Sus scrofa: one gene and its partners. The protein of the gene in region 3 purifies or fractionates together with the protein of the main gene of each other region. This does not show direct contact. Links are inferred from orthologs where the notes say so. Each region holds a gene or a part of one and is shown on either strand. Other genes may lie near its edges.

Region 1 (4,078 bases), on a different chromosome or scaffold from region 3:
TCCAATCGGAGCTGTAGCTGCCGGCCTATGCCAGAGCCACAGCAACTCGGGATCCGAGCCGCGTCTGCGACCTACACCACAGATCACTCCAATGCCGGATCCTTAACCCACTGGGCAAGGTCAGGGATGGAACCCGAAACCTCATGGTTCCTAGTCGGATTCCTTAACCACTGAGCCACGACGGGAACTCCTACTTGGGCAGCCTTTGAGAACCTTATAACCAACTGTGATAAAAGGAACTCGTCTTTCTCCGCATTCCATCTGAAAATTTTCCTAGCATTCTTATTTTTTTTGTTAATGGTACCATTTAGTCTCTTAGTGACTAGGTAGGGAAGATAGAAGGTCAATTTAATCCCCCCCCCCCACATCTGATTAACTACAAACTCTTCGTAGTTTCTCTCTTAGCACTATCTCCATTTGTCCTTTCCTATTTTCATTGTGGTCATATTACCTTTTGCCTGTATTATTGTAATAGCCTGATCATTTATTCTGCTCTTTAATCACTGCTATACAATAATCTTTTTAGAGAATAACGATGGTGTCATCCACCATGAAAAATCATCAAAAAATAATTTCCTTGTGGCCACTGAATAAGGCGCAAACTTCCCAGCATGCCATCCAAGCTTCTTCATAACTTGGTTCCAACCTTTTAATACACATTTACCGCAGACACTACCAAACAGCTTATATTCTAATTACCTGAACTTCAGTCTTGCAACACATACTGTACGAATACAAGATGTTAGGAATCCACTGGGAAGCCAAACATCAGGTCGTTTCCCTTTCCTGCCTCCTGATCGCAATGTGATCTTGCTCCTACTCTCCTGCACCTTAGGTGCTCCAGACCAGGATCCCCTAACAACTTCCCTGTACCGATCCATGGTGGGCCCAAGGGGAAAAAGAAGGCTTAAGGAGAAGTAAAGAAAGATTGCGAAGTAAGAAGCTGAAGTGTGAAGTCCTCGTTCCGCATTTGGCTACAGAAGAGCCCAACTCTTTACCCTGGGGTTAAAAGGGTCTGAGTAAGATCCAGGACTGCCTTTACCATTACCAAAATCGTTACTGCCGCTAGTTTCTCTGCCCGTAGTCCAGCTCTTTCGTTCACTCTCTCGCCTGGCTTCCCTCACTTCCTTGGGGAGCTTTCCCACTATGCAGTCGCAGTTCCCGCTTCCAACCGCCCCTAAGCCCACGGAGGAGGGGCGTCTAGTAGGTTCCAGCCTCTTCGGGCGCTGAGCTCCCAGACCCGCCCCCCCGCGCCAGTTGCCAGGGAGCGGTTGCCATAGAGCTGAGCAGTTGTCCGCGTGCGCAGGCGGAAGTCCCGGATTGAGGCGCCGCCATTTTTGCTGCCCGGTCGCGGAGCGAGAGGCTGAGAGAGTCGGAGACGCTATCCGCTTCCATCCGTCGCGCAGACCCTGCCGGAGCCGCTGCCGCAATGGATGATCGGGAGGATCTGGTGTACCAGGCGAAGCTGGCCGAGCAGGCTGAGCGATATGACGGTGAGTTGGGGGGGGAACGGGGGGCTGGAATTCTAGGACCCTCTGCCGCCGCCCACAGAGACCAGGACCAGGAGACAAAATGGCGGCATCGTCTCCTAGCCTGGCCCGGGGAGGTGGATTTGGGAAGCAGGCAATGGCCTGTAGGCTTTCAGAGCCGCAGGAGGCTCCAGACTCAGGATTTTGACTCCTTCGGCGTTCTCAGCTGCAGACACTCGGGAGCCAGGAGGCCGGGGCGTTAGGGTGGAGGAGTTGGTTGTAAAATGGCGGCTGGGGGGGAGGGCGAGTCCCGGGGCGGGGGAGGGGGAGGAGATGGCGGGTGCTGTCTCCCAGCGAGCAATCCCCAGGGGAGCCTCGGGGCAGTTCTTGGGACGTGGTGAACAATTGGGTGGCGTGACGAGGGAAGAAACACCCGCCACATGGGGGAGAGTGGCGACCGGGAGCGCGGGCGCCTTTCAGGGAAATATGGCGGGTGGGGGCGGTGGCTTTTCCCCAGAGGCCCAATGTGGGGCGGCGGCTGTGTAGTCTCACAAAGGAGAACCCTTGCGAGCGGAGGGCTCCTTTGGGTTTGGGGTGGGGGGCAGTCTCGGATGAGGGTGGGGAGAGCGAGGGGAGAGTGGGAATCACTGCAGTTCATCCTTGGGCGGAGGCCAGCCGAGATGCTACGTTCGGATTTCCTTCCCGTAGACCAGCACACCTTGTAGTGGGGTTTTTTAGGCTTTCCGTTCAACCTCGCCTTGTTCTGGGGAGGTCTAGAAAAATCTCTCTCACGCTCCCTTTCCTCAAACTTAACCTGCAGAGTTCGAAGTTCCTGGTAATCATTTTCTGGCTTCATAAGCTGTGGGTTCTGGTGGATAGATAGAACATTGAACAGGAAACAAGGAGATGATGAATTTTAGTTCCTCTCCTATTCCCGTGCCTCAATCTATCAGTATTTAAAAATGACGACTTTCCTGTTTACACGCGGCATTACGACAAATGGAAAGACCTGTTGGAAAATCAAGTTTTTTCAAATAACGTTTAGTAACTGTATTTTAGTTGCCTTCCTTGGCTTGGAATGCGTGATCGTACTTAACCTATCCCAAAGCACTCAGCAGAGATTTGGGTTTTTGAATTAAGACCGTAAGGAATCCCAGTAGATCTTATTTTCTTTTCTCCGTTTTAAGTAAATGGTTTCATGCACAGATTTGAGCAGTTCTTTGTTCCTTGCTCCTTTTCCCCTAAAGGCTCTGTAGTCATTTTTCAGAACTTCTTCGAAATGGCCACTGTGTCTTTTTAGTCGGTTCTAGGCTGCTTTTTTTATTGCCCCTCTCGTTGTGGGTCTCCTGCCCCCGCCCATTTTGGATCTAGGTATGTGAATTACTCCCACATCTTTTAAACTGGCATTATCATAACAAAAAATCCTATGTATGTTTTTTGTGGTTTTTATACTTTTGTGGCGTAAGACGGGGTTGGAATCAAGTGTCAATGAATAGATTTTTCTTCATGAAGCCACTTTTTTCCCCAAAATGTCGTGTGGAGACCTTGCTTTCCTTGAATGCCTGTTTGGTCATGTGAATAGTCTCAGGGCTGGTCCTGGCGTATCTTCATTAGGAGTCAGGAATTTGAAAATTACTAGAAAAGACCTCGAACTCAAATTTAGGAAGGTTACTACTTCTATTTTGTAAATCCTTCAATTGCTATTTGTATTGAACAAGATTCCTGTGGAAAGGGGGAGGGGAAAAGATGGGGAAGTACAGCTCAAGGTCAGTTTTGTCTTTATTTCACTGTTGAAAAGCGAACTAATGTAGGTGTGCTTGGAATGGAAGTTTTTCTCTTCTCCCCCCCTCCTGTCCCAAATAGGTTCCTCTCTTAATACACCAATGCCCTTAGGGAGGAAACTTGAAATTATATCGGAATGCTTTCTGTTCTTTAGGGATTTATAGGCTCTGGCTGTGATCACCAAAGAGGACGTGGAGGGAGCTTTTTTTTTTTTTTTTAAGAACTTGTTTTAAAAAGTGGTTTGGAAGTTCATGATTGTAGCTTTCACGTAAGTGACAGTTTAGTGATAATAATGTATTGGTTTTGAGTGTTTGAGGATTTTTGACCAAAGGCCTTATTATTTAGCACAGGATCCGTATTCTTAAGGTTGTTTAAACGTTAGGAGTGTCCTTCAGAATCTAAAGGGAGGTAGGGAATATAGGATCTACCAGTTTGGAGAGAATGTCCGTGACTGTTGGGTACAAGACAGAGAGGGATTCATTGGAAAGGGAGAAGAGGAAGACACTCCTTAGGAATCAGCCTCTACCTGTGACCACTCCTTTATTGGATATAATAATTCAGTTTTGTTTCTGGTGACAAAAAGTGATTTTATAGTTGTAGTTAGCAAATAATTTATCAGGCATGGGGAAAGTGAAGAGTGCATTTGAATGACTTGGCTTGGTGTAGTTGGATATAAATGTTGGCTTTTCTTCTTGTTCCTGTAGTACCTTTGTCTTTTATTTTGCATGTTATGTTGAATCTATTAAACTTTTTTAGTAGCATCATTGAACTCTGACCTGGGGAATTGGAATCAATTGATATGGATTATTTAATGGTACTGGAGGATG
Region 2 (3,500 bases), on a different chromosome or scaffold from region 3:
CAGGATGTTTGGTTTTCGGAGAGTGGTTTCTCTACTCACCTTCTCTTCCTGCCTCCCACCACATTATCTGCAGTTTCCATCCTTCACCCCCCGCCTCACCTGCTTTCACCCAGACATGCACACAGCCTCAAGCAGAGCCGCTAGCTTGACCTGGCAGGAACCATAGGTCTGTCTGATGTAGGTGCTAGGGACGTGATGCCAAGAGAAGCAGCCATAGGCAGCCCCCTGTGGGCCCACTCAGAAGTTTTGAGTCGGGGGAAGATGAAGGGAGGGGAGGAGAGGCCTGGGGTAGCCTCTGGGCCGAAACCAGCTGCTTCCTGCTAAAATCTCCCCTGGTCCAGACTGTTGGCCTGGCCAGAACCTGCTTTCTCCAAGTCATCGTTTTCCTGGCTGAGAATAGGAAAGCATTGCCTGCTTCTCTCCTGCAGGGGGTCCAGGGTTGAGTCATTCTGGCTGGCCTTTGCAGGCCACCCCTTCTCCCTAGTCCTTGGCAAAGTCTGGAGGTGCTCTTTCTAGGGGGCAGGGCAGGAGGAACTGGGCCCACTGGACAGAATGGGAACTCGGGTGGAATCTTCTCAGTAGTGAGGCTCCCCTGAGCTTCCTGTGGCTGCCTTTTGGAATGGCCCTCCTCTCTGCCCCAACCCCCCTCCCAGGGGAGCTCCAGCCCAACTCTGACCAGCTGCTTCCTCTCCCTAGGAGTGCCGCCTGATTTTCTCTGAGATAAGCCCACCCGTCCAGCAAAATAGAGTCCCTCAGGGTGACAGTTGATTTCCTGAAGGTGCCCCTTGGCCTGAAGAAGTCGGTGCTGAAGGAGGTGGCAGTGGGGCCCCCCAAAAGGCCCCAGCCTGTGGCCCTGGAGCGCTACAAAGCTCGGCGTTCCGACGCCATGGACACCGAGTCCCAGTACTCGGGCTATTCCTATAAGTCGGGCCACTCGCGCAGCTCCCGCAAGCACAGGTGGGTGTACGCGGAAGGCCAACGCAAGTGGCTGGGAGGGGTGGGAGTGGGTCCTCCCCTTGACCTTGAGCCCCTGTTTCCCTGGCCTCCTGCTGCAGGGACCGCCGGGACCGACACCGCTCCAAGAGCCGAGATGGGAGCCGCGGGGACAAGTCAGTGACGATCCAGGCCCCAGGGGAGCCCCTGCTGGACAACGAGTCCACGCGAGGGGATGAGCGGGTGAGCATCAGGGGCATGGGGTCTGGGCCAGGTAGTTTCCAGACTGATCCTTAGAGAAGCTGGAGCTCCATCAGAAAGGGGAAGGGCGGGGAAACCTGGCCTCTTCCGACATAGGTCAGGTCAGGGAGGCGTCTTGTGTCCTACTTCTAAGCATCCCAAGGAAGGACCCCATTTCAGTAAAATTCAGGGAGTTTCAGCAGAGATTCTTTTGGAAGCAGCAGCCTCTTCCATCTTTATCTCCAGAGAGGTGGGGTGACCCGCGCTGAGCCATGGGAATTGCCTGGTTCCCCTGGGCCCCTGCGGGCCAGTTAGGGTGCTGGGAATCTGGAGTGGGAGGGCCGTGGTGGGTGGGTGGGGCCTGGGGGTGTGGCAGCCCTGAGTTTTCCCTCGGCCTGAGGGCATGGGCACTCTAGCGCTCTCTGGTGTTGGCCTGAAGAATAGCACCTCCTTGTCTTAGAGGAGGTGTGGGAGAAGGGGCAGGGAGGCGTTAGCCTGGGGAGACGCAGAGGGTCCCCAGAAGAGAGTTCTCCCGGGCAGGGGTGACCAGGTTGCTCCAACTCTAGTCTCTCTGGCCCACTGTGTACACCTGGTAGGAAGGCCAGGAGTCTGAACCTGAGTAGGAGGAGGGCAGAGGCAGGATTTGGGATGACTCTGAGGTTGCCGGAACCTCATTCCCCTCCTATTCTTTCTTCTTGGGCGCACACTAGGAGCTGGAAACTTCACACAGCATCCCTGTGACTGACACTGGGGATTTCTGGGTTTTGGGAGCAGATTGGTGCCTGAGGGAAATGTTCTTTCTCCCTCCTTCCCAATCCCGTCTTCTCTTGGAGACCTGGCCTCCTGGGTTCTTGAAGTGACCCTGAGACATGATCAGCTCATCTCTTAGTGAGGACGAGTGCCCAGGCCCCTTATGCTTGAGAGGGTAGGCAGAGTGGCTACAGGTCACATGAGGGTTCCCTGAGCTGAGAGCAGGCAGAGCCTCTACTTTGCATCTTTAGGTCAGATTCCTCTGTCCTGGGGGAAGATTCTCCACCCCCAGTTGCTGACCCTGCCAGGCAGTCTCCTACACCCCCATCCCATGTCTCAGTCCTGCAGCCGAATCCCCTGGGTGTCAGGATGTGATTCCCCATCCCCTGGGTGTGGACACTGATGGCCACTGGTGGTCTTGGCGCTCATCTGTAGGATGGCGTCCAGCCACTTCAGGGAAGCAGCTTGAGTGGATCACACTCGGAAGGGCCCCTGGGGACCTCAGCCTGTCCACACACTTGCCTCCAGGACCAGGCAGCCCCAGTGTTGTGGGCATTCAGATGGCCCAGCAAAGCCGGCCAGGCAGATGCAGACTGGAGACCCAGAGTGACCCTGAGTCTGCGTGCCCTGCACTGGTCCCTTACCTTCCCTGTCCCTTCCTCCTGGGATCCTCTCCTCACCATGCTGCCTTTGTCAGGTCACTGTCTTAACCAGAAACTTTGAGAGGCTCTCAACGTCTGGAGGATAGGTACCTACTGCTTAGTCTGGCCTTGCAGGCGGCTTGCTTGAGCCTGCTTTGGCTGAGCAGCTCCCTGGCACCTCTCTTGTACCCTCTGCTCTGAGGGCGCACGTGCAGTTTTTTCCTATCTCGTTGATGGCGAGAAGCTCCCTGAGGGCCCAGGTCTCAGATGTCCCGTCCCTCCCTGAAGAGGTCAGGTTTGGGCAGTGGTACTCAGTAAATACCTTGATGGCTGCAGGTTCACTGATTACCTTCTTTTCTCGTCTCCCTGCTGTGCTGTCTTCTCTCCCCTCACCTTTTCTCTTGTGTCTCCTCCCCCTCTGCCTCCTCTTCTCCCCCTCCCCCGTGTCTGTGGCCCTTCCTGCTGCAGGATGACAACTGGGGGGAGACGACCACGGTCGTCACGGGCACCTCGGAGCACAGCATCTCCCACGATGACCTCACACGCATCGCCAAGGACATGGAGGACAGCGTCCCGCTGGACTGCTCCCGGCACCTGGGTGTGGCAGCGGGGGCCACGCTGGCCCTGCTCTCTTTCCTCACACCGCTGGCTTTCCTGCTGCTGCCCCCGCTGCTGTGGCGGGAGGAGCTGGAGCCATGCGGGACAGCCTGTGAGGGCCTCTTCATCTCCGTGGCTTTCAAGCTGCTCATCTTGCTGCTGGGCAGCTGGGCCCTGTTCTTCCGCCGGCCCAAGGCCTCCCTGCCTCGCGTCTTTGTGCTACGTGCGCTGCTCATGGTGCTTGTCTTCCTGCTTGTCGTCTCCTACTGGCTCTTCTACGGCGTGCGCATCTTGGACGCTCGCGAGCGCAGCTACCAAGGCGTGGTGCAGTTTGCCGTG
Region 3 (3,500 bases):
TTTTGTAAAGTCTCTGGGTGCTGTTGTCAACAGTCTCAATGCTGTGATTGGAGGTCCCTCCTGGGGAAGGGAGACGGGGCCTGACCTTGGTTTCTGCTTGTGTTCTGATTCTCTGGGGCACTTGGGAAGCCGAGCCCCTGTGCCCTCATGGGATGATACGGATACTAAGTGGTCGCAATTGCAAAGTGTGCCTGGTGGGGTCAGGACCCGGCTCCTCCATCAGCCCTTCTGCCTCACCCACGCTGCCTCTCCACTACTTTTGACTGCTGAGTGCTTCGAGCCTTTGCGTTGGCAGCAAAATATGCTCAGAGTCCCGCCTCCTTGATTTCTGACATGCTTCTCCATGACTACTGATCGTTACTAGAACAGGCAGGTGAGACAGAGTTCAGGGGCGGGCCGTGGTCGCCAGCCCCCGCCTTCTCTGAGGCCCCGAGCCCCTCCATGGTCCCTGGATGAGCACGGCCAGCTGGTGAGTTGAATGATCCGGCAGCAGCCGGCAGCCCACAGAGGCACTGGGGGGTCAGCCCTGAGGTCTCTTACCTCAAACTGGATCAGCACCGTCCCGCTTTCGAGGCCCTTCTTTAGCTGTTCCATGGATCCCTCCAGCGTGTCCCCACCCTCCGGACACATGGGGAAAATGGCCTCTGGGAAGAGCTGGTTCAGTTCGTCTTCAGATTTGATATCAGCAAATGAGTGGACCGCTGCAGTGGACGAGAAGGAACGTGTCGGGCCTGTGCAGCCACACGCTGGGGGATCGGTTTCCTCCCCCCAATTACACTTATGACACCTGAATGCAGATGGTTTAAAACATCTTATTAAATGATTAAGCACATGGTAATCATTTTCACCAACGACACTTCTTGTTGAATGATTCAATATGTGCTAATTATACAAAATGACATACTAATCTTTCTGGTTAGTTTTAAATGATGGTGTTTAGTACTCAGAGGCTTTTGCCAAAGGTATGAGAAAGGGAATGACTGTTTTTAAAGAACAGAGATCAGAGTTCCTGTTGTGGTGCAGCAGAAACAAATGTGACTAGTATCCATAAAGATAAGGGTTCAATTTCTGGCCCTGCTCAGTGGGTTAAGGATCCGGTGTTGCTGTGAGCTGTGGTGCAGGTCGCAGACATGGCTCGGATCCCGAGTTGCTGTGGCTATGGCCGGCAGCTGTGGGTCCGATTCAACCCCTAGCCTGAGAACTTCCATATGCCCTATGGGTGCGGCCCTAAAAAGCCAAAAAAAAAAAAAAGAACAGAGATCTTCTCCTGTTACTGTCTCTGAGCTGGTTATTCTTCTACCCCTGTTCTTCCCGAACCGTGTCTTCGGCCTACACCACAGCTCATGGCAATGCCGGATCCTTAACCCACTGAGCGAGGTCATGAACTAAACCCGCAACCTCATGGATCCCAGTTGGACTTGCTTCCGCTGCGCCACGATGGGAATCCCATGGGTCCCTTTTATCTGCTCCTTTAAAACAGGCATTTTCCCAGAAACTGGTGTGGGGTCTGGTGCTCTCTCCACACTGCCACTGTCCCACAGAGCTCAGGTGGTGTCTCTAACTCAGGCCACTGTTAGGAGGGAGGCCGCCCAGATAAACATCTCTAGTCTGTGTTTCCTCTTTGGAACAAATTCTCCCTTCATGCAGACTCAATATGGGTTAAAAAAAAAAAAGGCCAAGGGCCCTTCCTTCCCCACCATGCACAATACGTCCCGGCCTCATATGCTTCTTTCTGTCTATGTCACTTCCTTCTCCACTCTCTTAAAGGGAAGACTTTGAGCTCATCTCTGAATTTTTCCCTTTCTACCCAGAAACAGAAGTCACTCCCTTTCGCAATAGCCTTCAATGGCTCCCTACTGCCTTCAAGATAACAGGAAAGAAGGAGGCAACAACTTTGGGTTTTCCCACAGAGTTGAACTGAATCCTCACAGTACTGAAGCAGGTGTCATTATTCCCATCTTGCAGATGAGGAAACTGATTCAAAGGGCAAGAGTTTTAAGTCCACATCTGGCTGACCCGAAAGACCACATTCTTTTCACTGACCAAAGAAGCTCAGTTCTTCTACTTATTTTTGTGGGTTTTGTCATATGTGCTCCCCCGCCCCGTCCCGTTACTATTTACTTATTTTTCTTTCAATCATTTTTTACTTAAATGTTTATTTTTAAAATGAACTCACTGGAGTTCCCATCCCGTGGCTCAGGAGTAACAAACCCGACTCACATCCATGAGGATGAGGGTTTGATCCCTGGCCTTGCTCAGTGGGTTAAGGATCCAGCGTTTCTGTGAGCTATGGTGTAGGTTACAGACATGGTTTGGATCTGGTGTGGCTGTGGCATAGGCTGGCAGCTTCAGCTCCAATTTGACCTCTAGCCTGGGAACTTCCATATGCTGCAGGTGTGGCCCTAAAAAGACAAAAAAAAAAAAAAAAAAAGAACTTACTTTCATTACAGTTACAGGAAACCTTTTATGCACTTCCCTTTAGGCTCTACTAGTCTACAAGTATCTGTTTTTCTCACCTCAAAGCGTATTATACATTAAAGCCTGATACAAGTTCTGATTCTTCTTCTGTAAGGTCGAATGGGGCTCCATTAGTTTCTGCTACAGACACTGGCCCCTTGCCATGGGCTGGTGGTGGGCCCCCTCCCTGGCTTGGCCAGGGTGCTCCTGGGAAGAACCCCAGATTTGGCCAGCGGGTCACAGGGCACTGCATGTGATAGAGAGGTCTGCTCCCAACTGCTGGATTCCTTCCGTCCCTATTATCATGGGGCCTCACCAGACACATGGCAGCAGGGCAACTTAACCTCTCCGTGACTGCTGTTCCCATTTAGAGATAATAACACTAACCTACGAGAACATTTTAAGAATTGAATGGGATAATTAGTAAAGCAATTGACATGGTGTAGGCCCTCTGCTGGTGCTGCAGAGACATCAGCCACTGTCACGAGTGATACCTACTGTGTGCCCAGCATGGAGCTGGGTTTGGAGGGGATGGGGTGAGACGAGGTGGGAAGGGTTTTGGAGAGATCAGGTGGGGCCCTCACGGAGGAGGTGGGGTGAGAGCTGGCACTGGGAGCATCACCGGGAACAGAGAAGGCAGTGAGGCCACAACAGGGATGCAGGGCCAGGGCTTGAGCCACATACTTCATTTACCTTCAGTATTTGAAGCCGGGCAGGAGGATCCAAGGCTAACTGCTTTATAACAACCACCACCACCACAACAACAGTAATAGTATTCAACAGAGGCTGCCCTTCAAATGCCCACCAAGTACGGGGCAGCGTCCTTGTTGCTTTTCAGTATGAGTATTACTGAATCTTCACAGGAATCCAGAGGCAGCAACTGTGTTATCCTCATTTTACTTTAGTGGAAACGGAGACAGACTGGGCAAGAAACTCCTACTGGGCAAGGTCCCTGGGCCCAGTAGGAGGCAGGGTTAGAACAGCCCCAAGGCAGTCAGCCTCCTGCCCTACTCAGCTTACTGTCTCTCCAACAAAACCAAATG
Region 4 (3,500 bases), on a different chromosome or scaffold from region 3:
CACACCAGCATCCCCTCCAAGACTTCTTTCTAAACCATCAAATGAAATTTCACTTGATGAGCCCAACTGCTTGGGCCTTCAGAGGGAATCTTGCTCCAGTGGTTCCCAAAGGTTAGCCTGCAAAAGCATCACCCGGAGGGCTTGTTAAAACACAGATTTCAGGTCAGGTTCCGGCCCCACCCACAGAGGTTACTTATTTTTCAGTGGGTCTAGAGTGGGGCCCACCCAAGAATTTGCATTTCTTAGAAATTCCCCACTGATGATGAAGCTGCTGGCCCTGGGCCCACACTCTGAGCGAGCCCGTCCTATATCCCCAGGCTCTTGCTGGTTTCCAGGATCTGAGCACATTAGCCAAAGTGGACAAAGACGGTTTTCATCCTGTGTGCTGGGCCCCTGCCTTCCTCCTTCCCAAGGGCTGCTGGTGTGGGCGGCCGGCTGGGGGAGATACAGCTCCAGGTCTTTGTCAGGCTGCTTCCGCACCAGCGGCCACCCCTCAGTGCACGCAGAGCCTTATGCAGCCAGAGTTTGAGGGACCCTAAAACTCTTTTCCTCTAACCCTTCATTGTACAGATGAAAAGGACGAAGTGAGTCTCCCAAATTAGTGGCAGAATTGAGAGCGGTCCCCTCCTCGTTCTAGGGCTCCTTCTTCCTCCCCTGAAGCCCCCATCCCCTGCAGTGCATTTGCCTTTGCCCTCCTCTCCGTTCCTGCCAGCCCCCCCCCACAACCCCCGCCATCTGGAGTGGCAGCTGAGGACGGGGAGCCGTGGGTGCGCTGGTGGCGGACTGGGGCACAGCAGGCGGGCAGACGTCATCCCGGTTCTGTCTGCCTCTGTCCTCGAGCCCCGCCCCACGGTCCCGATGCCCTTGTTTCGGCCCCTCCAGGCTGGTGGTCGCGGTGGAGGAGGCCTTCATCCACATCCAGCGTCTCCAGGCCGAGGAGCAGCAGAAAGCCCCAGGGGAGGTGATGGACCCCAGGGAGGCCGCGCAGGCCATCTTCCCCTCCATGGCCCGGGCTCTGCAGAAGTACCTGCGCACCACCCGGCAGCAGCACTACCACAGCATGGAGAGCATCCTGCAGCACCTGGCCTTCTGCATCACCAACAGCATGACCCCCAAGGTGCGGCTGGTCACCGAGCTCGGGGAGTCCCACTTCAGGGGTGGTCAGGAGTGCGAACATCAGAGGCTTCTCTCAAGCGCCAATGAATAAGAATGAGGGATTCTCACTTATTTTGTGCGGTTTTGGCACAGTTGCTTTTTTAAGTTGCCTTTGGAGGCCTCTGGATTCAAGCAGAGGAAAGACTTTCACTTAGAGATGGTCCAGGTGGCAGCTCGGGGTACGCTGGTTTCTCGTTTCTGGTTGACTCATTCTAACCTGGCTTTCTGTTCCTTTCTGCCAGTGGGAAACCTTGGGCCAGGAGCTTAATGGCTCTGTGCCTCGGTTTCCTAACCTGTAAATTGGGGATAATACTAGTATCTACTTCATTGGGTTGTTGTGATAACTAAGAGGCACACAGTTTTAAGCCCGTTCTTGTGCAGGGCTTAAAACTGCATCTGTCCTAGTGGAAGGACCAAAGAAATAGCTTTGATTATCAGCGGTAGAAACAAGGCCATCACTTGGGCGTTTTGGGGCTGTTGTGGGTTTAGTTTTACTAAATGGTCTTTTGGATTATGACGTGAGCACACCGCGGGGGATGTGGCAAACAGCAATGCATCTACTAGACGGATGTGGCCAAGGAGGCAGCACAGAGTAAGGGTTCAGCAAATGACCGCTCTTCAGATAGAAGTGGGTTCACCTCCAGGCTCCACCACCGAATTGCTTTGTGACTTAGCCTTAAGTTTACACTTGTTTCCTCTTTTATAAAATGAGGATAATGATAGTATCTACTTGATAGGATTGTTGTGTGGGAATTATAGTAAAAATGGCAGCATGACAGGTCAGTCACATGGTAGAGCGTAAATGACCTTGACATTTCGTACACATGTGCACTTGGTAGTGTTACTGTTGGTATAAGGACCTGTGTTCAGACACTGCCCTGAATGTACACAACTGCTGATGACATTGTCGCTAACCAGTAATGACACTTAGGAAAACAACATGGGTTTTCACACTCCTTGACTTACTAGCCCCTCTCCTGGAAAAAGTATTCAGCACAGTCAGCTCATATATATGAATATACATGCAGGTGAGTTTTTGCAAAATAGTCTGTATTCACTCAAAACTGGAAATAACTTAAAAATAGAACAGTAGCTTATAAATTCTGGTACATCACTTATTAAAACACAGAAGACTCTTTGTTGCTATAATAATAAGTTACAAAATGCAGAATACAAATAAGTGTGAACGCTGTGGTTGCAAGTGAGCCCAGTAAGTCTGGGTGTACAGAGTGATAGCTCGTGCCACACAGAATGGAAGTGGTTATTTTCCTTTTTTTCAAGGTTTTTAAAAAGGTTTCCTGAGGGCTTTCTTTTTCACTGAAAAAGAGTATACTTTTCTGAATAAAAAATAATATTTGCATGAAAATGTTAACATTAAAGAAAAGTATAATGGGAGTTCCCTTCGTGGCTCAGCAGTTAACGAACCTGACTAGTATCCATGAGGATGCAGGTTTGATCCCTGGCCTTGCTCAGTGGGTTAAGGATCCGACGTTGCAGTGAGCTGTGGTGTAGGTTGCAGATGTGGCTCGGATCCCGCATTGCTGTGGCTGTGATGTAGGCCTGCAGCTGTAGCTCCAATTTGACCCCTAGCCTGGGAACTTCCATATGCCACGGGTGTGGCCCTCAAAAGCAAAAAAAGCCAAAAAAAAAAAAAAAAAAAAAAAGCAAGAAAGAAAAGTATAAGGTACAAAGTGAAGTTTTGATTCCCCTAATCCAGACAGTTCTTACTGATATAAAGACTGGGTGTATATTCTTTCCGGGTGGGTGTGTGTTTTCAAAACAGAAATAGGAAAAAAACAAAAACCAAAAAACAGAAATGGGATCTCAAACTATATAGATAAAGTATGGATACTAGGTTTTTTCACTTAAAGCTGCTCTTGGCTGTCTGTCCATGTCAGGCCTTCACACAGCTCTAACTCTTTCTCTCCAATAGCTGCATCCTAGCCCACTGAATACCGGGGTTTGTTTAACAGACTGCCTACTGATGCACTTCTGGAGTAAGATCGTTCTTTAGTCTGAATGAGGGCTTGGCTCTTTTTGCTAATCGAGCTTTCCTGGAACACAGCCACACCCTTTATTTACAGATTGTCGACAGCTGCTGTCTCTCTACCAGGACAGACTTGAGTCGTTGTGACAGTGCGTGCCTTGCAAAGCCAAAAATATTTACGTTTAGAGAAAAGTTTGCCAACCCCTGGCCTAAACAGAGTTGCAGTAAATCCCTTTTTTACATGTGTTTTTGTGTATGTAGGCAATTATTTCAGAAGGATGCATTTCTGGTAGAGGAACAGCTGGATCAAAGGCACAGATCCTGCCAAATTGTCCTGCTAAGTGGTGTCACTCTTTCA
Region 5 (3,500 bases), on a different chromosome or scaffold from region 3:
AAAAAAAGCTTGGGGAAAAAATAACCTTTTTATCCAATACAGAACAAAAAGAGTGTCAGTATTTGATCCTTATTTCAGATTTTGGTATTTTTTAAAATACAGTTAACTAAAAAGATACACCATGTCATTGTATTAAAAGTACACAATGGAGTTCCCGTCGTGGCACAGTGGTTAACGAATCCGACTAGGAACCATGAGGTTGTGGGTTCGGTCCCTGCCCTTGCTCAGTGGGTTAACGATCCAGCGTTGCCGTGAGCTGTGGTGTAGGTTGCAGATGCGGCTCGGATCCCAAGTTGCTGTGGCTCTGGCGTAGGCCGGTGGCTACAGCTCCGATTCGACCCCTAGCCTGGGAACCTCCATATGCCTCGGGAGCGGCCCAAAGAAATAGCAAAAAAAGAAAAAAAAAGTACACAATGCCTAACGTTACATTATCTTGTCTAATCATGTTGATTAAATACGTCCCTGAAGCAATGGAAATGAAAGACGCACAGACTAAGGTGACATGATTTTTCTAATTTCCTTTCCATGAATTCTTGATCACAAAATAGGCATTCGAATTGGCAGCAATTCACAAATTAACATAAAGGGCAAAAAATGTTTTTGTATAAAAAGAACCAAATAGGCATAGAGATGAAAATTTGGTAAAAATTTTAAAAACGTGAATGGCAACATAAAGTATGAATTTAAAATGTCCTTCCCCTCTTTAACCCACCTAGAATTTGATTCGCGGAGACGGCTATGCTGAACGACAGAAGTTGCCGGACTGATGTTGGGAGTGGCACAGCGAGATGTGCTCAGGTCGCACTGATCCAGTAACTTGAGCAGCTCTTCCTCCGTCGGACCACCGACATCTGTGGGGAAGGGACAGCATCAGAGTCACTTCGGTCAACACCACCCTGCGGTAAACACCTTGCCCTCTGGAACCTACCCTTGTCCTCGCTTTTGTTAACCATGTCCATCGCGGTGGTCAGATCCCACATCTGAATGCTGCCGTTCGTGTGGCCTGTGAACAAGTAGCGCCTTGGCCTTGAACCCATCCTGCTGGACCCCTCACATTCTCTCACTGTAAATGAGGATATTGTGGTACAGTCAACAGCTTGGATCTCACAGATTCTGCAAAAGATTTTGTACAGTTTGTAAACTATGGGGAACAAATAACACAAGTCAGGTTTTTGAAACTGCTCATTGGCCAAGTTACAGCCGAACATATACAACAGATTTAAAGGCGTCAAAGTCAAGAGCAATGAAACTCAAGCCTTGCTTCTTTGAATCTGAAGAAAAAGCTCTTATTATAACTGAAAAAAGCAAGTAATTTAAATCAAATTAAAACCTTTGATAAGAATTGAGCAATTCTTTAAAAGGGAAGTCCAGAAACTAAAAAGGCAGAAAGCAAGCAAGAAGGCATCACACTAGGAAAGATCTTAAGTCATTTAACCTTTATGTACAAAATTTAAAAACCTAAAACCTCAACAAGGTATAACATTAAAGACATGTCTAAATATATCGAAATGGTAGGTGGCGTAATAGATTCTTCATTTTTTCCAAGCGTCAATTTTCATAAAAGATAAAAGAATCTGACCAAGAACAATTACTGACATTTGACAAATGAGGAAACTTTTTTGTTTCAGTCAATGTGCTGAGGTTACAGAGGGTTAACAAAACTGTACTTGATTGAATCATTTATCCCAACCTTCTTCAAAAATAGTTGAGACAATTAAAAAAAGAAAAAGATTAAGAACAATCAGTTCCAGGGAAATCCAAGATGAGAAAATAAAGGAGGAAGTCCTATCCCTATTAAGCGAGAAACATATGAACAGAATATGAACCTTCACTGAGATAGAATTTTTTTTTTATATCATAAAAGTGTGAACTGTTTTGTTTTGGGCTTTTTTTTTTTATTTTGGTTTTTGTTTTTTTTTGCTTTTTAGGGCTGCATCTGTGGCAAAGGGAAGTTCGCAGGCTGGGGTCAAATGAGAGCTGCAGGTGGCAGCCTACACCGTAGCCACAGCAACGCAGGATCCTAGCTGTATCTGTGACCTACATCACAGCTGATGGCAACACCAGATCCCTAACCCACTAGGCAAGGCCAGGAATCAGCCTGCATCCTCATGAGTACTAGCTGGGTCTGTTACCCCTAAGCCACAGTAACAACTCCTCCGATGGTTTTCTGTGTTTATCAAGATGATCATTTTCTCTCTACTTCTTTAATGCAGTGAATTACATTTATTTTTCAATATTACCTACGAAAAGACATTTTTAAAAATCTCGATTCCTGTTTCTATTTAAACAATCAGCCAGTGCTCCATGATGTGGACCCTACAGACACAGGGGCTGACTGTACCACAGCCTTTTACAGAAGGGCCCTGAGCACCATGGGCCTGCGGTGTCACCTTGGGCGGGGTGGGGGGCAAGCCTGGGTACACAGGGCCGGCCGTCAATAAAAATAAACAAAACAAGCCTAAATGCATGAAAGCAAACATAATATCTGATTCTTAATTTTTCCTATGGAGAGATTACTTAAAATTCTTCTTCCTTTAAAAAAATTTTTTCCAAGTTTCCTTCCTTGCCAATTTTCGGCAAAATTCTTTCACTTCTCACTATTAAGAACCTGAACAGTTTTTCAACAAAAAGCTTAGCTTCAGAGCAGGTTCATAAAGGGCTAATCTCCCATTTAATTTTACAAAATATAATCTGTAAAATTACTTTTCTTTGTTGGGGGCAGGGGTTAAATCGAAAAGCCTGGATTTTAATGAGAGAAAGAAACATTTTCAACAGGTTCCTGGGCTTGTTATTTTTACAACTCTAGCTTTTCTGCTGGAATCAAATTTAAAAATTACAGACTTTATCATGCAAAAATTGTTGATACTTCAAATAGCATCAGTGTGTTGTTGTAACAAGAACATCACTTAGGAACAAAACAGCACTAGGAAGGAAAACAAACGGAACAAGAGTATGAAATACTGTACGGTTAGAGGATATTGTCACAGCCACTAATATTTGGCAGCCTTTTCACCTAATATGCCCACAACACTAAACCACAGTGATGCATTTCTCAAAGTAAAAATCTGGTCTCTAACTAAACTATAGGCTCCTAATACGTTTTCTTAAAAAACTAACAAAAAGATAGTTCAGTACATAGAAATCATCCTCTGGAAGCATTTAATAATTGCTGATGACTATATGCAATGACCTTTGATAGAAAATTTATCATCTCTAAGACTTTACTCCTTAAAATATTAAGAAATGCGAGAGCACATGGTGAAGAAAGGATGTCAGGAAAGTTATTAAAAATATCACTAGCATGAGTAAGAATTTAACTTTTTTTTCACTTTTTGACATGCAAAAAATTTTGTTTTTAATGAGAAATGTTATAGCTCAGTATGTTTGAGGCTATAAATAACAGAGATTAAAACAAGCTATGTCAGGAGTTCCCACTGTAGCACAGTGGAAACAAACCCGAGGTTGCAGATTCGATCCCTAGCCTCGCTCAGTGGGTTAAG
Region 6 (4,133 bases), on a different chromosome or scaffold from region 3:
CCAGAATTTTTTTTTTTTTTTTTTGGTCTTTTTGCTATTTCTTGGGCCACTCCCGTGGCATATGGAGGTTCCCAGGCTAGGGGTTGAATCGGAGCTGTAGCCACCGGCCTACGCCAGAGCCACAGCAACGCAGGATCCAAGCCGCGTCTGCAACCTACACCACAGCTCACGGCAACGTCGGATCGTTAACCCACTGAGCAAGGGCAGGGATCGAACCTGCAACCTCATGGTTCCTAGTCGGATTCGTTAACCACTGCGCCATGACGGGAACTCCCAGAATTTAATCTCACTGCTATGTTTGGGGTTTATTTCATGTCTACTTATTTGTAGTGTAAAGATAGTGATAGAAAATTTCTATGTAAATAATTAAAACAAAACAAAACAAAACAAAAACAGAGTCAGGAGTTCCCTTGTGGTCTAGTGGTTTCACTGCTGCAGCTTGGGTTCAATCCCCGGTCTGGGAACTGAGATCCCACATCAAGCTGCTGCACCTCAGGGTGAAAAAAACCCAAACAAACAAAAAAACCAGGGTCAAACTAAGTTAAGAGGACGATAGGTCTTCATATGTGGCAAACTTCATGAAGGTAGTAGGTACTGACCAAGTTAGGGAAATAACAGTTAGGCAGATAATTTTCCCTGCTTTGTTCCTTCTACAAATCAGCAAAGCCTAGTGGACTACACTTCCCAATAACCAGTGGGGCATATTTTCCATGGCCAGTGGACTGGCTGCTCCAAGGTCTCACGGAGATTATAGTCAATAACTCTCCTTAAATATTTCACTCCTTCATACAAAGGACACCAGTGTTCCCTAAGCCTCTCTACAAGGAAATCACACCTGGACTATAACTCCCATCAGGCTCTAGGGCCTGCTTCGGCACCTCCAGGGGGTAGCTTGGCCCAGTGTCTCACTGGAAATGCTGTTTCCTACTTCCTTTCCCAGCATCAGGCCAAGCATCTGATTTAGAACTACAAATCCCAGGAGTTCCTATCGTGGCGCAGTGGTTAACGAATCCGACTAGGAACCATGAGGTTGTGGGTTCGGTCCCTGCCCTTACTCAGTGGGTTAAGGATCTGGCGTTGCCGTGAGCTGTGGTGTAGGTTGCAGACGCGGCTCGGATCCTGCATTGCTGTGGCTCTGGCGTAGGCCAGTGGCTACAGCTCCGATTCGACCCCTAGCCTGGGAACCTCCATATGCCGTGGGAGCAGCCCAAAGAAATAGAAAAAAGACAAAAAAAAAAAAAAAAAAAAAAGAACTACAACTCCCAGAGTGTTTCAGGGTTCACAGCTCAGGTGCCCACAGGCTGCAGCCTTGTGGGAGATGTAGTCTTTAGAGCCCTAGCCACTCTCTCCATTCCTTAGTAGTTCCCACCTGGTGCAGGCAGGTAACCATTGAAGAGGACGTTTCCACAAGAAGATCGATCCAACTCTTCCAGAAGCTGCAGACGACGAACTGGGACAAAAGGACCTAAAGGCTGGGACTTGGGGAACACTGAGACAGATCCCTTTTCCCCTCCTCCATTTCTTTCTCCACAGAATACCACCACTCTTCTGAGACCCAGGATTAAATCCAGTGCTCTCATCTCTAACCCAACCTTCTTTCAAGAGGGGAAAGAGGGAGCACCACCAGAGAGCTGGTTTTCTATTAGAAGAGGATGCTAAGGGGGCCCCACTTACCCAGAGGAGTGAGCCCATAGAACTGGGCTTCGTGGAGGAGGCTGGAACCATGGACACCCCTGGGTAATAGAAGCGACTAGGGGTCAGGCTCTGGGGAGTGGGAGTGGGCAAAGAATTCTGAGGATGGAGTTTTAAAAACTGTACAGAGAACCCTAAGAGGTAGCAAATTTTGATGGGATCAAGATTCTAAGGAGAGATGATTTGGGCAGTGAAAATGTGTGTGTTTGAGGGGAATTCTAAGGTCATATAATTTAAATATGATCAAGGTGCTTAAGTGAACATTCTGAGGAGAAGATGAGACTTCTCAGGGGGTAAAGACGGTGCGGGATTCCCCGCTATCTTCCATGCCAACCTGGGGTCCAGCTCTTTGGTGCGCAGGAAATTGAGGATGGGGGCGAAGACGGTGGGGTCCCTGTCGATGAAGATCTGCGGGGAAGAAGACAGATGGGGCAAAGAGCAAGGCTAAGTGGGGATCCTGTCCCTCCTCCTACCGGCCGCCCCTTTCAATTCTTGCTCTACTCACGGCGCCAGTCTCATCTTTCAGTGTAGAGATACGTCCGCTCAGAAGACTGCAAGGGGGTGGGGGGATGATAAGCGGGTGTCATGGGCCGCGGTGTGTGTATCATGGGGGGAGATTAGGTCTCCCCGTACCCTGTCCTCCCACCCCCCACCCCAAACTCGCTCTCCCAATCACCTGGAGAAGAAGGAGTCTGGGATCCAGGTGAGAGTCTGGCGAGAGGTGCTGAATCTGTGCGGGGACCGTGAGAGGACGCGAGATGATGGAGAGAGGATGGCGAATGAGGCCCTAATCCCAGGACCGGGTGAGTTCCCTTCGCTCCTCCAGCACCCATCAGGCTCCCGCGCCTCCAGCAGAGGGCGGAGCAATCCTTGATGGACAGGGATTCCCCTCGGGAGAGACGGGTACTCCCACCTCGCTCCACACCGCCGAGAGTAGGGTCTCGAGAATCTCCTACACTCACCTCTTGCCTCCCACGTTCAGATGAATCACCTCGCCGGGAGGCCCCCGACTAGGGACCCCGTCGGCTGCAAGGGCCGCGGCTTCCATGGCCCTCGGGCGAGCCGGCCGGCCAGCACCCGCTTCCGGGTGTGCACCCCACCCCCGCCTCCACCGCGTGCTCATTGGGCCGGAGACTCCTGGAGCCACCCGCGATTGGGCAATGCGCTCACTTGTCGCAGTTAATGTTCTCCTCCTCCTTAAAGGGGCCCGCTTTTCCTGTGCTGGACGGGGCGGACCGAGAGGCTCCTTTGGGGAAGTTTAGTTACCGTGAATAGCAAAACGTACCTCCACCCCTCTGGGGTTCCCAACTTAGGAATGGCATCTAGCTGCTTCTTCGGGGGCACGTGTTTAGACCTCGAAATTAGTCCATACCAAGAGGGACATCTAAATGTTCTCCGCAACACAGTTTCCTGGCCTCGCCCCACCCAATCCTCCCAGGCGCCGCCCAAGAAACTTGAACAAACCGTCATAGACCGTCAAAGCCAAAGAATTTATTATAGGTACATCGAGTGTGCGCCTGCCGCCCCACCCCTTACCCCTGAGCCCCAGCGGCCCTGGGGGCTGCCTACCATCTGGTTCCCCCACTCCTCCGGGAGGTGCTCCAGCCAGAAGCATGCAGGGGGAGGGCTTCCCCTCGCCCCTCCCCTCACAAAGTGACATTTACAGATAGAGGGGGGAGGAGAGAGGAAGACAGTTTTGAGCTTTGACGCCCCTCCCATTAAAAGCCTTCGCGGATGCGGGGCGGGAGAGGAGGAGGTCGACGTTTTGCAAAAATAAACTAAGTCAGGAATTAATCGCATGGCTCTGAGACGGCGGAGGGCAGGGGCTAGGGCCCCTTCTCTCCCCCTCCCCAGACAGAGATCAAGGCAGCATTGGAAGTGAGGTAAAGGCGGGGAGGGGGCGTCCCCTCCCCACCCCTAGCACCCTGGATGGTCCAGGGGACCTCACCAGCGCCCCCATGCCCATCCCTAGGGCGGAGAGGGGCGCGGAAATTATCGCCCCCACCAACCCAGCTTCTTGGGGCAGGATATGGGCATCGGGGCAGGGGGCTTGGCTCAACCGGCCCCTTACCCGCCCCACCCCCCAAGCTCAGTTATTGCATAAAAATAAAGGAGCCCCAGCACCTGGGGTGGGGGTGGCGAGCGGGAAGGGGCCGAAATATGGCTAATAGGGGCAGCAATCCCCCCACCACTTCTTGGGGTGCAGGAGAAGACCCCTCCTTTCCAGTGCCCATCATGGCGCATCCTCAGTGTTGGTTGGGACTAGGGGCTCCTGCCCCATCGGAAGAGAAAGTGTCTTTGTGCCCACAGTGCCAGGAGGAGGGGCGGGGAGGTGTGTCAGGCCCTGGGGGTGGGAAGTCACTTCCGGCGCCCACTGGCTCTGCGCTCCCCTGCCTCCCGCTTGGGGTTGCCCTCGTCTGTGGACGACGTGGTGGGCGCTG

The links.
Region 1: the proteins of PTPN3 (region 3) and YWHAE purify together in Homo sapiens (affinity purification with mass spectrometry; 5 studies listed by BioGRID and IntAct, with this or other methods). This does not show direct contact. The link is inferred for Sus scrofa from reciprocal best matches to the Homo sapiens genes PTPN3 and YWHAE.
Region 2: the proteins of PTPN3 (region 3) and VANGL2 purify together in Homo sapiens (affinity purification with mass spectrometry; 3 studies listed by BioGRID and IntAct, with this or other methods). This does not show direct contact. The link is inferred for Sus scrofa from reciprocal best matches to the Homo sapiens genes PTPN3 and VANGL2.
Region 4: the proteins of PTPN3 (region 3) and VANGL1 purify together in Homo sapiens (affinity purification with mass spectrometry; 4 studies listed by BioGRID and IntAct, with this or other methods). This does not show direct contact. The link is inferred for Sus scrofa from reciprocal best matches to the Homo sapiens genes PTPN3 and VANGL1.
Region 5: the proteins of PTPN3 (region 3) and KCTD3 purify together in Homo sapiens (affinity purification with mass spectrometry; 4 studies listed by BioGRID and IntAct, with this or other methods). This does not show direct contact. The link is inferred for Sus scrofa from reciprocal best matches to the Homo sapiens genes PTPN3 and KCTD3.
Region 6: the proteins of PTPN3 (region 3) and SHKBP1 purify together in Homo sapiens (affinity purification with mass spectrometry; 4 studies listed by BioGRID and IntAct, with this or other methods). This does not show direct contact. The link is inferred for Sus scrofa from reciprocal best matches to the Homo sapiens genes PTPN3 and SHKBP1.

Annotation. Positions count from the first base shown.
Region 1 is NC_010454.4:47,642,528-47,646,605, reverse strand, and holds the start of YWHAE (14-3-3 protein epsilon), read left to right. Parts: upstream 1-1,278; 5' UTR 1,279-1,429; coding exon 1,430-1,493; intron 1,494-4,078. UniProt on the Homo sapiens protein: Adapter protein implicated in the regulation of a large spectrum of both general and specialized signaling pathways. Binds to a large number of partners, usually by recognition of a phosphoserine or phosphothreonine motif.
Region 2 is NC_010446.5:90,060,202-90,063,701, reverse strand, and holds part of VANGL2 (vang-like protein 2), read left to right. Parts: intron 1-696; 5' UTR 697-886; coding exon 887-957; intron 958-1,055; coding exon 1,056-1,176; intron 1,177-3,032; coding exon 3,033-3,500. UniProt on the Homo sapiens protein: Involved in the control of early morphogenesis and patterning of both axial midline structures and the development of neural plate. Plays a role in the regulation of planar cell polarity, particularly in the orientation of stereociliary bundles in the cochlea.
Region 3 is NC_010443.5:250,446,388-250,449,887, forward strand, and holds part of PTPN3 (tyrosine-protein phosphatase non-receptor type 3), read right to left. Parts: intron 702-3,500; coding exon 541-701; intron 1-540.
Region 4 is NC_010446.5:105,000,354-105,003,853, reverse strand, and holds part of VANGL1 (vang-like protein 1), read left to right. Parts: intron 1-882; coding exon 883-1,117; intron 1,118-3,500.
Region 5 is NC_010452.4:5,809,680-5,813,179, reverse strand, and holds part of KCTD3 (BTB/POZ domain-containing protein KCTD3), read right to left. Parts: intron 1,114-3,500; coding exon 929-1,113; intron 852-928; coding exon 713-851; intron 1-712. UniProt on the Homo sapiens protein: Accessory subunit of potassium/sodium hyperpolarization-activated cyclic nucleotide-gated channel 3 (HCN3) up-regulating its cell-surface expression and current density without affecting its voltage dependence and kinetics.
Region 6 is NC_010448.4:48,811,830-48,815,962, reverse strand, and holds the start of SHKBP1 (SH3KBP1-binding protein 1), read right to left. Parts: upstream 2,801-4,133; 5' UTR 2,741-2,800; coding exon 2,655-2,740; intron 2,423-2,654; coding exon 2,369-2,422; intron 2,244-2,368; coding exon 2,198-2,243; intron 2,101-2,197; coding exon 2,027-2,100; intron 1,734-2,026; coding exon 1,675-1,733; intron 1,451-1,674; coding exon 1,370-1,450; intron 1-1,369. Other genes in the region: SPTBN4 (spectrin beta chain, non-erythrocytic 4), read right to left, coding at 4,051-4,133.